3 linked regions of the Kluyveromyces lactis genome follow. The protein of the gene in region 2 purifies or fractionates together with the protein of the main gene of each other region. This does not show direct contact. Links are inferred from orthologs where the notes say so. Each region holds a gene or a part of one and is shown on either strand. Other genes may lie near its edges.

The links.
Region 1: the proteins of LAS1 (region 2) and RAT1 purify together in Saccharomyces cerevisiae (affinity purification with mass spectrometry; 4 studies listed by BioGRID, with this or other methods). This does not show direct contact. The link is inferred for Kluyveromyces lactis from reciprocal best matches to the Saccharomyces cerevisiae genes LAS1 and RAT1.
Region 3: the proteins of LAS1 (region 2) and RAI1 purify together in Saccharomyces cerevisiae (affinity purification with mass spectrometry; 3 studies listed by BioGRID). This does not show direct contact. The link is inferred for Kluyveromyces lactis from reciprocal best matches to the Saccharomyces cerevisiae genes LAS1 and RAI1.

The regions. Positions count from the first base shown.
Region 1 is NC_006042.1:702,589-706,784, reverse strand, and holds the start of RAT1 (ssRNA exonuclease RAT1), read right to left. Parts: upstream 2,831-4,196; coding exon 1-2,830. Other genes in the region: Cu(2+)-transporting P-type ATPase CCC2, read right to left, coding at 3,173-4,196. UniProt on the Saccharomyces cerevisiae protein: Possesses 5'->3' exoribonuclease activity. Required for the processing of nuclear mRNA, rRNA and small nucleolar RNA (snoRNA) precursors.
Region 2 is NC_006037.1:554,697-557,977, reverse strand, and holds LAS1 (rRNA-processing protein LAS1), read left to right. Parts: upstream 1-1,327; coding exon 1,328-2,698; downstream 2,699-3,281. Other genes in the region: OAF3 (Oaf3p), read right to left, coding at 1-610. UniProt on the Saccharomyces cerevisiae protein: Regulates cell surface growth, bud formation and morphogenesis. May act indirectly by regulating factor(s) involved in these processes.
Region 3 is NC_006041.1:1,139,829-1,143,095, reverse strand, and holds RAI1 (decapping nuclease), read left to right. Parts: upstream 1-1,532; coding exon 1,533-2,687; downstream 2,688-3,267. Other genes in the region: PTR2 (Ptr2p), read left to right, coding at 1-929; BRR6 (Brr6p), read right to left, coding at 2,723-3,106. UniProt on the Saccharomyces cerevisiae protein: Decapping enzyme for NAD-capped RNAs: specifically hydrolyzes the nicotinamide adenine dinucleotide (NAD) cap from a subset of RNAs by removing the entire NAD moiety from the 5'-end of an NAD-capped RNA.

The sequences.
Region 1 (4,196 bases), on a different chromosome or scaffold from region 2:
TATACCTAGACTGTTGATATCTGCTGCCCTGTGGCTGTCTCTGTTGCGAGTGCATATACTCTCTATTTTGTTGCGGTTGTTGAGCATAAGCTGTCTGTTCTTTATGGAAGAAGAAACTTCTGTAACCTCCAACCCTGGGCTGATATTGGGTAATCCCCGATGGGCCAACAGGCACAATGTTGTATTTCATCATGGAAGGATTCCAACGGTTACTGTATTTATAAATGATACAGTCTCGGTCCTGTGGGGTAAGCATTGGTTGAGGTGGGATATATCCGTTCAATACTAACGATTTACATCTACCCGCAACCACAGGCTGCGTATACGAAAGTTTTAGGAATAAATTTGTACTCAAATCTGGCAAACCACCCCCATTAATAGGACATATCAGCTTGGAGTTTAGTTCAAACCCTTCTTCAGCTTGTGTTACGAATCCACTTAAACCAGATTTGAAATGTCTAAACTCTATCACGTTAACGGGGTTTTCTCCATATAAATTCTTCATAAACAGGTCGTAATTCACATTCTTGTTGCTGATCAAAAGTGCATCCTTCTTCCTAACATTTCTTGCCTTTTCTGAATCAGAAAGCTTAGAATATTGTTCTCGAACTGTTTTCAGTAAACGTGTTTCATCTATAAATGGCAATAGTGCAATACCCTGCCAAGCCATCTTTTTACCATTCATATCCACTGGGAATTCTTCAGGATAGAAATCTATAATCTCAGAGTTTGGATCTGACATTAATGGTCTGAATATTTCGGGTAGTGCGTGGCCTGATGCTGCTGGTAAAACACTCATTAACTGTTCGTATGGTAAGAATGGTTCACCAAGATCAAAGTGAATATCTAGATTTTTTATATTCTTGAAATCCTGAGCAAAAGGAGCATAATGGTATGGATAGTACCAAGTCCAAGACGCACATCCCTGATAATAATATAATAAAACCCATGAAATACCTTCCACATAGCACCTAATCACATCCTTTTGCAGAGCTGGAATATCTTTTGCTGGAACATGGAATTTATGTTGATAGTAACGATCATGATATCCAGGTTCGTAAAGTCTAACCGACTCATCGGTGTCAATGAACCCTGATTTTACAATACCGGTGTGGATGACCGCTGGTGGAACAGTAGAGCCTTCGTCTTCATCATAATCGGCCTCATCATCCTCAGGTTCATTGGATGTTTCCTTTTCAGCAGAGTCAACATCTTCACTTTTCCGTTTCAACGACAATTCTTCTGCATTTTCCTCATCTCTCATTGCCATCTTCTTAGCAATAAGTTTCTCCTGTAAGCTGGTAGCAGCATCGTAGTTCGCAGTCTTCGACAGTTGCACGCTATTTTTCAATTCTTCCGATGAAAACTCGACCACACCGCTATTCTTCTCACTTTTTAGTTTCAAAGCTTTAGCTGCTTCGCCATCACCTTCATTCGCCAAATTAATTTCTTTACGCATATTAGCGAAATCCTTATTAGACAAATTCAAAGAGCCTTCAGCGGCGTTGCCATCAACATCATAGACCGGCATATTCTCCAACGGAATCATAAAATTTCTGTCGACCTTGCCCTGGGAAACATTGGGGTTACTTTTCAATTTCTTTCGCCTATCATGAGCCTCTTGCTTACGAACTTCCTGAATGTATTTCTTTTTGAAAAGATCTGTTTCACGGTCTCCTAATTGTTCAAGTAAAGCTTCTACAGGTTCCAAATTGAGTGTACCATCACATGTTAGGTAGGTTTTTGTTTTGGGCAACACAGTCTTCCATATATCCACCAAAATGTCAATGCTATTCTCTCTCACATCAAGACAAGGTAAATGCGGTAGGAAATCATTACCACAGAAGAAACACATGAAAACCCAATCGTCGATTGCTCGTTCAAAATCAAACTGGAACGATAAATGTGGAATCGCTAATTCTGCTGAAAGATATTCTCTTAAAACGCTGATATGGAGCCATAAGAATGGCTTTTCTGAATCTTGTTGAATAAGCTGTTGTTTCTCTTCTTCAGATAAATTTATCATATCTTGAGGCTTTGGTTTTTTATAGTTGTTATTGGCGAACACATCCTCTCTTAATATTTTGAAATGAGGTTCGTGGGTTGCTAGTCCCAAAAAGATCAAATCTGCATCTAACCCATATATACAATGTGTTGTATTTGGATTATATTGAGTGTCTGCTCTTTGAGATCTAATGAAATTCATTATTTTATGTTCACCTTCACCTGGAACAGTAGCGTCACTTATAATAATTTGTAAATTTTTCCACCCGGGATCAGTTGCTAACTTGAAACTTGTCCAATATCTTAAAGCTGTAGCTAGTTTATCCATAAATGGGGTACCTGGAGTAATTGCGTTTGAATCCCATGTCTTTTTACTTTTGACATTTTCATCAATCGTCTCACCATAGTCCTCTCTTTCTCGTAATACTTGCTCTCTGGCTTCATTTTGGAGTTTTGCATCCCTTGCACTACGAAACCTACGTGCTCTCTGTTGATTCATCTTCGCTCTTGGTGCAACACCATCAACCGCTATCATCAAGACTTTTCTTGGTCTGGCCATATTCAAAACGCGATTTGTGTACTCAAACACAGCAAGAAGCATTTCATCCTCTGTTTCAGGTGGTGGCTTATTCTCCGGATGTGAACAAGGGTGAACAATACCATTCATATCGAGATAAAGGTTATCCAACTCACCATTGGGATTGGCCGAAGAGTAATCAAGCGGTAGTTGAACACCATCTTCGATAACTGGATATTCTTCCAACACAGGAGAAATGATTTTAGGATATTTCCTAGACAACCAACGAAAAAAGGACGGAACACCCATTGTGAGTACCTGGCCTTACTTCTCGCTATTTGTACCAACTGCCTATTAGATTACAGTATGCATTCATCTGTACTTCTAAAGTTATGTTCATCTCATCGATTAATTTTACTTATTGTTTATTGTTACCCGGATAAATAACTCAGCTCATCAACGATGTAGTGACAAACCGCTTTGAGTAACAATAATACCAGTAATTGCTAAACACAGCGCTTGGTTCACTGTACAATAAACTCATCCAGCGATTCTATTATACAATCTTTCGTTTATTACGAATATGAATTTTATTAATGTTATAATACAAGTACTGATATTTAAGAATTGCAATAGCGTAAATAGCTAAGGTTACATCAATCTTTCCTGAAGTTCAATATCATCACCTCTGTTACTGTTTCTACCAAATCTAAGCCATGACAATCCACCGGAAGCTTCCATTGATTTGATATTGAGTGAAGGCGGTGTCCACCTCTTCAACATTAGCGAACTGCAGACCACGGACACGGAACTTAGAGCCATTGCAGCACTAGACAACATTGGATGTAAAGTGATACCCCAAGGAGCTAATAAACCCATAGCAATGGGAATCATGAATGTGTTATAACAGACAGCCCAAAAGAAATTCAGCTTCACTCTATAGAATGTTTTACGCGCAATATCAAGTGCATAAACCAAACCTTTTAACGAATTATTTTTATTATCCGAATCAAGAATAACGATATCGGCAGCTTCGATTGCAATATCAGTACCAGAAGATATCGAAATTCCTAGATCTGCCTCAACCAAAGCCGGAGAATCATTAATACCATCTCCGACAAAGGCAACCCTCTCTGTACCGTTGTTTTGGAGTTGAATGACAATATCACGTTTCTGCTCAGGAGTGACTTCACTGAAGACATCATTAGCGGATATGCCAAGTTGTTGTGCCACTTTCAGAGCAGATTGATGCGCATCTCCTGTGACCATGCAGCATTTAATGCCCAAATTTTGTAAATATTCTACAACAAAATGTGCGTCTTCTTTGACCCTGTCAGATATTTCAAATTTGCCGACTAAACTACCATCGATGGAAACATAAGATTCTGTTAAAGTAGAAGAAGCGATATCACTCAAACTCTCATCGGGAAATAATTTCTTGTTACCTATGGTTATTGTATGGATTTTAGAAGTATTTTTATCTGTGATGTTACAGGAAATTCCCTTTCCAATGAGAACTTCCTCATTCGATAAATCCAAATCGAAAATGCTTGATTTATTTACGTGGGAATCAGCATAATTGACAATAGCTTTTGCAACTGGATGTTCTCCTATTGATTCACACAATGAAATCATCTTCCAGTGTAAATCAGATACATCACTGTTATAATTAATG
Region 2 (3,281 bases):
CAGGCACCAACGGATGAATCTTGTCAACGAAGTATGGATAATATTTGGACCAAAATTCGTATTCATACGGTACATATGTCTCCGGTATTGGGGCAGACCGCAATGCTGAGAACTCCCTAGCTATCTGATGGTATAGTTGATCTTCAGACTTTTCTGACCGGTTGTACATGGTTACGGTCTTTAACGAATTAGGAAGCTGCAAGACGGTGTCTCTTTCACTACGATCGATACCTTTACTGGCACTTTTCCGTAAAATATCAATGACAGCGTTTGTTATTCTTAAATATGGATCTCTGTCACATATAGCGATGTCTGAGAACAACCCATTGAACCACGAAGCTGATCTTTTGCTTAACAGATGTAGCCCTTTAGGAGCCATATTGATGAACTCCGGTAATCCAAGATCATCCATATATTCGTATCTTACTTTTTTAGAAGCATTCTCATCCGTATCCTCGGAGTAAACACACGTTTCTCCCAGCTTTAAACAGTTACTGCACGAGGGCTTTCCTCTATCACATTTCGTCTTACGACGCCTGCAATTCAAACATACAAGTGTAGGTCTATGTCTCTTCTTAACTGGTACCGGAGATAGCATTTCGTAAACCATAAGACGATTTGTGTGCAATTCACTCCCTGACTTTCGTTTTACTGCACTTGTAGTGTTTAGCGTCTGAAGGCGTGTCGGTTGATTCTGTATTACAAACGTTCAGACCGTTCCTGAAACAAAAAGTATTACCAGACCGGCGTGTATTCGATTTAATCGGCGTGTGAAAAGCAGTTTAGCAGTCTTCGCTACAATTGATATCCAATTCGAAGTTTACTTGTCCTTTCGGAGGCCATACACGAAATTGTTTCTTCATGAAAGAAGACCATTTGTGATTCCGGCAGTTTTATTTCGAGATTATACTTAATTAAGAATTTGACACCTAAAACGGATTGTCATTTAAGAAGTACTACATAATGATATTTACTGAAAATTATTCTTGCATGTTAAAGTACGTTAAGTGTACTACGTTATTCGAATCTCCCGACGCTTACATACTACCAATATCCATCTAATATACGATGACATTGATAATATTTCATTTGCTTCCTCTGTATTGAAAGTGGGCTTTGGATATCATTTCGTCATATTCGAAATTTTTCAATTTCGATGAAAAAACAAGATCCATGCATACTCGGAAACAGAGCGATGAGATGAGGTGAGATGATATGACTTAATATCACATCTAATCTGGTATATATATCTACAATTGTTGTTTCTAGCAGTTTTTCGTGATTTCTGTTTCTTTCATTTGGTACACAACCCTACGAGGAACTCCCGATGAGAATAACGCCTTGGAGATCGAGATCTGAGCTTGAACAGTTGAAGCAATGGTTGTTTGTAGATGATACTCCAGCATCGAAGAGAAGGGCCATACAACGAATTGACGCATACCTTACCAGGGGTCCATATCTCCCACATATAATAGAATATACGGTCCGTTTGATGCAATGCCAGTTGAACGACCCTGGCGAGGCGCAAGACGGCGATGATATGGAATATTTGAAATGGCAGTACTGCATGGTCTTGATTAGGTTTGTGAACGGTATGTTAGACCCAGTGCAACAGGCACAGTTTGCTATCCCATTACACACACTTGCTGAAAATATAGGGTTGCCCAGTTGGTTCGTTGAGTTACGTCATTTGAGTACACATGAAAGAGAACTGCCTAGTCTTGAGATGCTACGATTGTGTTGCAAGGAAGCGATACAATGGACGTGGGATAATTATTGGAATAATGATGAATGGGAAGAGGAAGATCAGGACTTTGATGAGGCTGAAGATGAGGATGCGACTGATGATAATGACGACTCAGAAGCCAAGAAAAGGAAATCACAGTCATCTGTTCAACTGAAATCCTTATTCACTCAGTATACTGGTCTCAAGAGATTATTGAAAGAGAATGAGTACCTATGGAAACGTCAAAGAATTGCTAGATCAACTTTTGGTGAGCAGGACTCAACCGAGGACGAAGAAGTTAGTGATTGGTTGACAGTTTTGAAAACTGCCTGGAAACAAATACACAAATCAGATTTCGTAGAGTATATGATCTTGCACTGCGACGAAACCTTGTTAGAGATATGTTTTCATTCCTTAGACACATTCCAAGTCAGGTGTATAGAGTGGCTAATAGAAAACTACGAGAAGAGGATCATGAATGAAGAGACGAAGATTACGGATCGGTTCTCAAATCATAAGAAGCTCTTGAAATTCGTAAATAAGTGTTGTTCCATGGTTAACGGCAGAAAGTTTTTGAGTAATGGATTGTTTAGTAATGTGGTAGATAAGTACCACAACTATCTCGTGTTACACATCTTAAAGAATTTGAGTAATGAAAGTGGATCTAGTGGTAATTACAGCGGTAGTAAGTCAAGAAAGAAGAAGAAAGCGAATGAGATAGACGCGAAAAAAGTTATTGAAGAATTTGAGGCAAAGGGGATCAGGAACGTTGAATTAGAGCTCTACAATTCAAGGAAAAGGACGTCTTCTGAAGAAATAGAGCCTGTTTCGGAAGATTCCCCGGCCTTGGATATATTGAAAGACTTGAATGAATTGAAAAATCAGTTCAAAAAGATCAAACAAAGCAATGCCCCCATCTCCAACTGGCAAGAAGTCACCGAGTGGACGCCTAGACCATTTGGCGTTTTGTAATTAGTATAATTAAGCCTTTTAGATACATAAGACAAAGCAAGAAAGATTGACAGTTCTACAGGTTCTGCGATGATAACAGGATTGAAAATGGAAATGGATAATAACATATAAAAAGATCAGACATCCTAGGAAGGTCTCAATAAAGAGCGGTCACTGAAGAGTACTAACGATGGGTTCGTAGGCGTACTCCTACCGTGGAAACTGCGAATGTAAAGGAACCAATTTTCATCATATAAAAAAATGTTAAAATCCATAACGCACAATCATGTTCTTAGCTAAAAAGAAGAAGTGAAACGTTTTGAAGAAATAAATGCAACAGAAGATACGACGATGGATCTTGTTTCACTGTTACTTTGACCTTAAGAAAACTAAAAAGAGAAAACTCAGATGATCTAAATTGTACATGTCAAAGCATGTACTGGCTTAAAAAGTCGTTGCCCCGTAAGACAACAACATGGTAGACTCCCATATCGTCATGGTCGATATCGGACTGGGAAAGAAGTGTAGACCGTTTTCATCATCGTTAAATGTTTTGAAGTTCTTTCGTAAGGTATGAAGTAATAATGAATCCCACGTATATGCA
Region 3 (3,267 bases), on a different chromosome or scaffold from region 2:
GCTGGATTGGTTTATGCAACGGTTTCAATTTGAATAGAGCCGTTCCATCTTTGAACCCAGAAAAGGAGTACCCATGGAATGATTTATTCATCGATGAAATTAGAAGAGCTTTCAAGGCTTGTAAAGTTTTCGCATTTTACCCAATTTACTGGGTTGTTTACGGTCAAATGCTTAACAATTTCGTTACCCAAGCTGGTACTATGGAATTGCACGGTTTGCCAAATGATTTCTTACAAGCTATCAACTCTATTGCTTTAATTGTATTCATCCCAATCATGGAACAATTCATTTACCCATTTATCAGACGTTTCACTCCTTTCAGACCAGTTACCAAGATCTTCATTGGTTTCTGTTTCGGTTCTAGTGCCATGGTTTACGCTGCTGTCTTGCAACACTTTATTTACAAAGCAGGTCCATGTTACGACTTCCCAATGTCCTGTGCACCAGAATACGCAAACACTCCAAACAGAGTCCATATCGGCTGGCAAGTTCCTGCTTATGTCTTAATTTCTCTTTCTGAAATTTTCGCGTCCATTACTGGTTTGGAATACGCTTACTCTAAAGCCCCAGCCACAATGAAAGCCTTCATCATGTCCATCTTTTTGGTCACGAACGCTGTCGGTTCTGCTCTCGGTATCGCCTTGTCCCCAACAGCCGAAAATCCAAAGTACGTCTGGACATTCTCTGGTTTGGCTGTTGCTTGTTTCATTGCTGGTTGTTTGTTCTGGCTATGTTTCCACCACTACAACAAGGATGAAGAAGCCTTGAATGCATTGGATTACAAGACAGAAGAACAAGAACAAATGTTGTCAGGTGTTGGTGTCACCGGAGAAGGTGCTGCTTTATACAGTGTCTCCTCAGTTCGCAGTAGAGTTCAACAGCAACAGAAACAGCAAAATCTAGAGCATCAATTATCTCGCTCAGCTTAATGTTCTTTTATAACTCCTCTTTGGCCTTTGTTAATAAGAGAGAACACTCTCATCGCTGGCAAGGCAGAAGTACAGTCTGACAAATGCATAAAAAACTAATGTCTTGACATAAAGAATAAATCCATGTTTGATCCATTATCAATCATATCACGAACTATTTCGAGATCTTATTATTTTCTTTTTGTCCCTGGTTATATTATATTATTATTATTACTATTGTATTATCATTATCAACCGGTCATTGCACTGTATCTAGTCTATTATCAACGATAAATAGAGAACCTTCATGTAATCAAACACGTAATGAATAGCAATTGAATTGTTAAAAGCTCTATAATATCTCTATCCAGGATAGTTTCCTGCAGTGATACCTCCTAGGGAAATAATTTGTTTTGTATTTTAACGTACTCTCTCTTTGTCTTTTTATCTTGCAGACAGCATACAATAAGGCCTTTACAATTGGAAATTTTTCATGCATTTAAAGCTTTAAAAGAATCTCATCACCAAGACACATGTAAGAAAACATTTGACGAGGAGGTGTTCTATAGTGGTGACTAGTTCAGAACGTGAAAACCTGGTAGCTTTGAATAGACTTCTTGCATAATGGTACTATCTTCCAGTCTTTTCGTTCAAAAAAGAAGTACAACTACTGCTTTGAAGCAACCAAAAGAATTAGGTCATTATTCGAGAACACAGGACAATGGATTTTTAGTCAACGATGATTCGAGGCTAGCATACTATTACTTGCCAGATACGGATCTAGACAAGAAGCTTGATCTTTTAAGTGGAATCAAGAAGTTCAAAGAGTGTAATACGGAAGAATTCGACTCTACAACATTGCATGGATTACTTTCGACTTTGGAAGAGTATGAGAGACGTAAGAGTAAGAAGACGAAGGTGGATATCATTACGTTCAGAGGTATCATACGGAAGCTCATCTCCAGTGCTTTTGATTCATCACAGTTCAATCCGGTAAATTTCCGTATTGTTTCGTTTGATGGACAACTATTCATTAAGGAAGTCAAGACAGACGCTTCGGAAACCTCCATTAACAAGAATAGGGAGTCGTTACAGGCAAGGGCATATTACAGTGGTTACAAATTTGAAGCACTTGCAACCTTATCGCTGCCACTACCGTTGGTACCCAGAACTACATTGGAAAAGAGACCTAAAAAGATTATTAACAATGGGGACCAATTCATCTCAATGGTTAGAACAGGAATAGGTAAATGTAAGATATTGATCGGTGCAGAAGTGGACTGTATTTTTGATTTTAAAGAGGATTCAGATGACAACCTGAAGCATTACGCAGAGTTGAAATGTACCACAATGGTCAATACCGTTTCCGATGCGCATAAATTCGAACGTAAGTTGTTTAAAACCTGGTTACAGTGTTTCCTAGTAGGAATAAACAGAATTATATATGGGTTTAGAGATGACAATTTCATGCTCAAAACTGTAGAGGAGTTCACTACATCTGAGGTACCGCTAATATTGAAGAACAACAACCCACAGATGCAAACTGTGTGTGTAGATGCCATAAAATGGTATGGTGCCTTCACAGAGTGGTTATTGACAAGTATTCCAAGACCAGAAGACGATATTGACACAATTAAAGCCTATAAACTCATCTTTGAGAACAATCACCTAAAACTCACGGAAATTGAGTCTGACGACGAAGAATACAAGCAGCTGGTGGAAGGAGAAGAGATACTATCAAATTCGTTCAAACAATGGAGAAAAGATCTTCGCAAGTAACTTCTTTATACGTGATATATATGTACACAGAGAAACTACTGAAGTAGTTTACTAGAAATTGATATAAGCAATACAAATAGCATCAGTACTATTATTGTCTTGAAGGCAAGTGCCTGTATAAACGAATTTAACGTGTGTGCAAGTGTCTTGGCATATAAATTGGCCATCTGATGAACGCTGGGGTGCGAGTCCAGCTGCGCACAATGCCACCATTCATCACATTTCCCAGCTAAAGCCGGCCGTATTCCCTCACTACATCTATTCTCAACATAAGATCGTTTGCACTGAGAGATTTTCTTCATATCCACCCATTGCTGTTCCAATAACTGCCATTGCACATCTTTATGCACAGTCCAACAGAAATATCCCACTATTACCACAAGTAAACCCTGGAATACCAATTTATTCACTGAGTGCATGAGAAGAGGCTATGACAAGCTCTTAACCCAAGGTCTTAGCACAGGTCTTGGTTCATTTGGTGCTCTATTCAATACACCCGGCCAAGCAATGTGCGTCCCAAGATATTAATCAGTGATTCGAAAGGTTGCTCTTCGGCAATTACTTAAGAAAAAAAAAACCA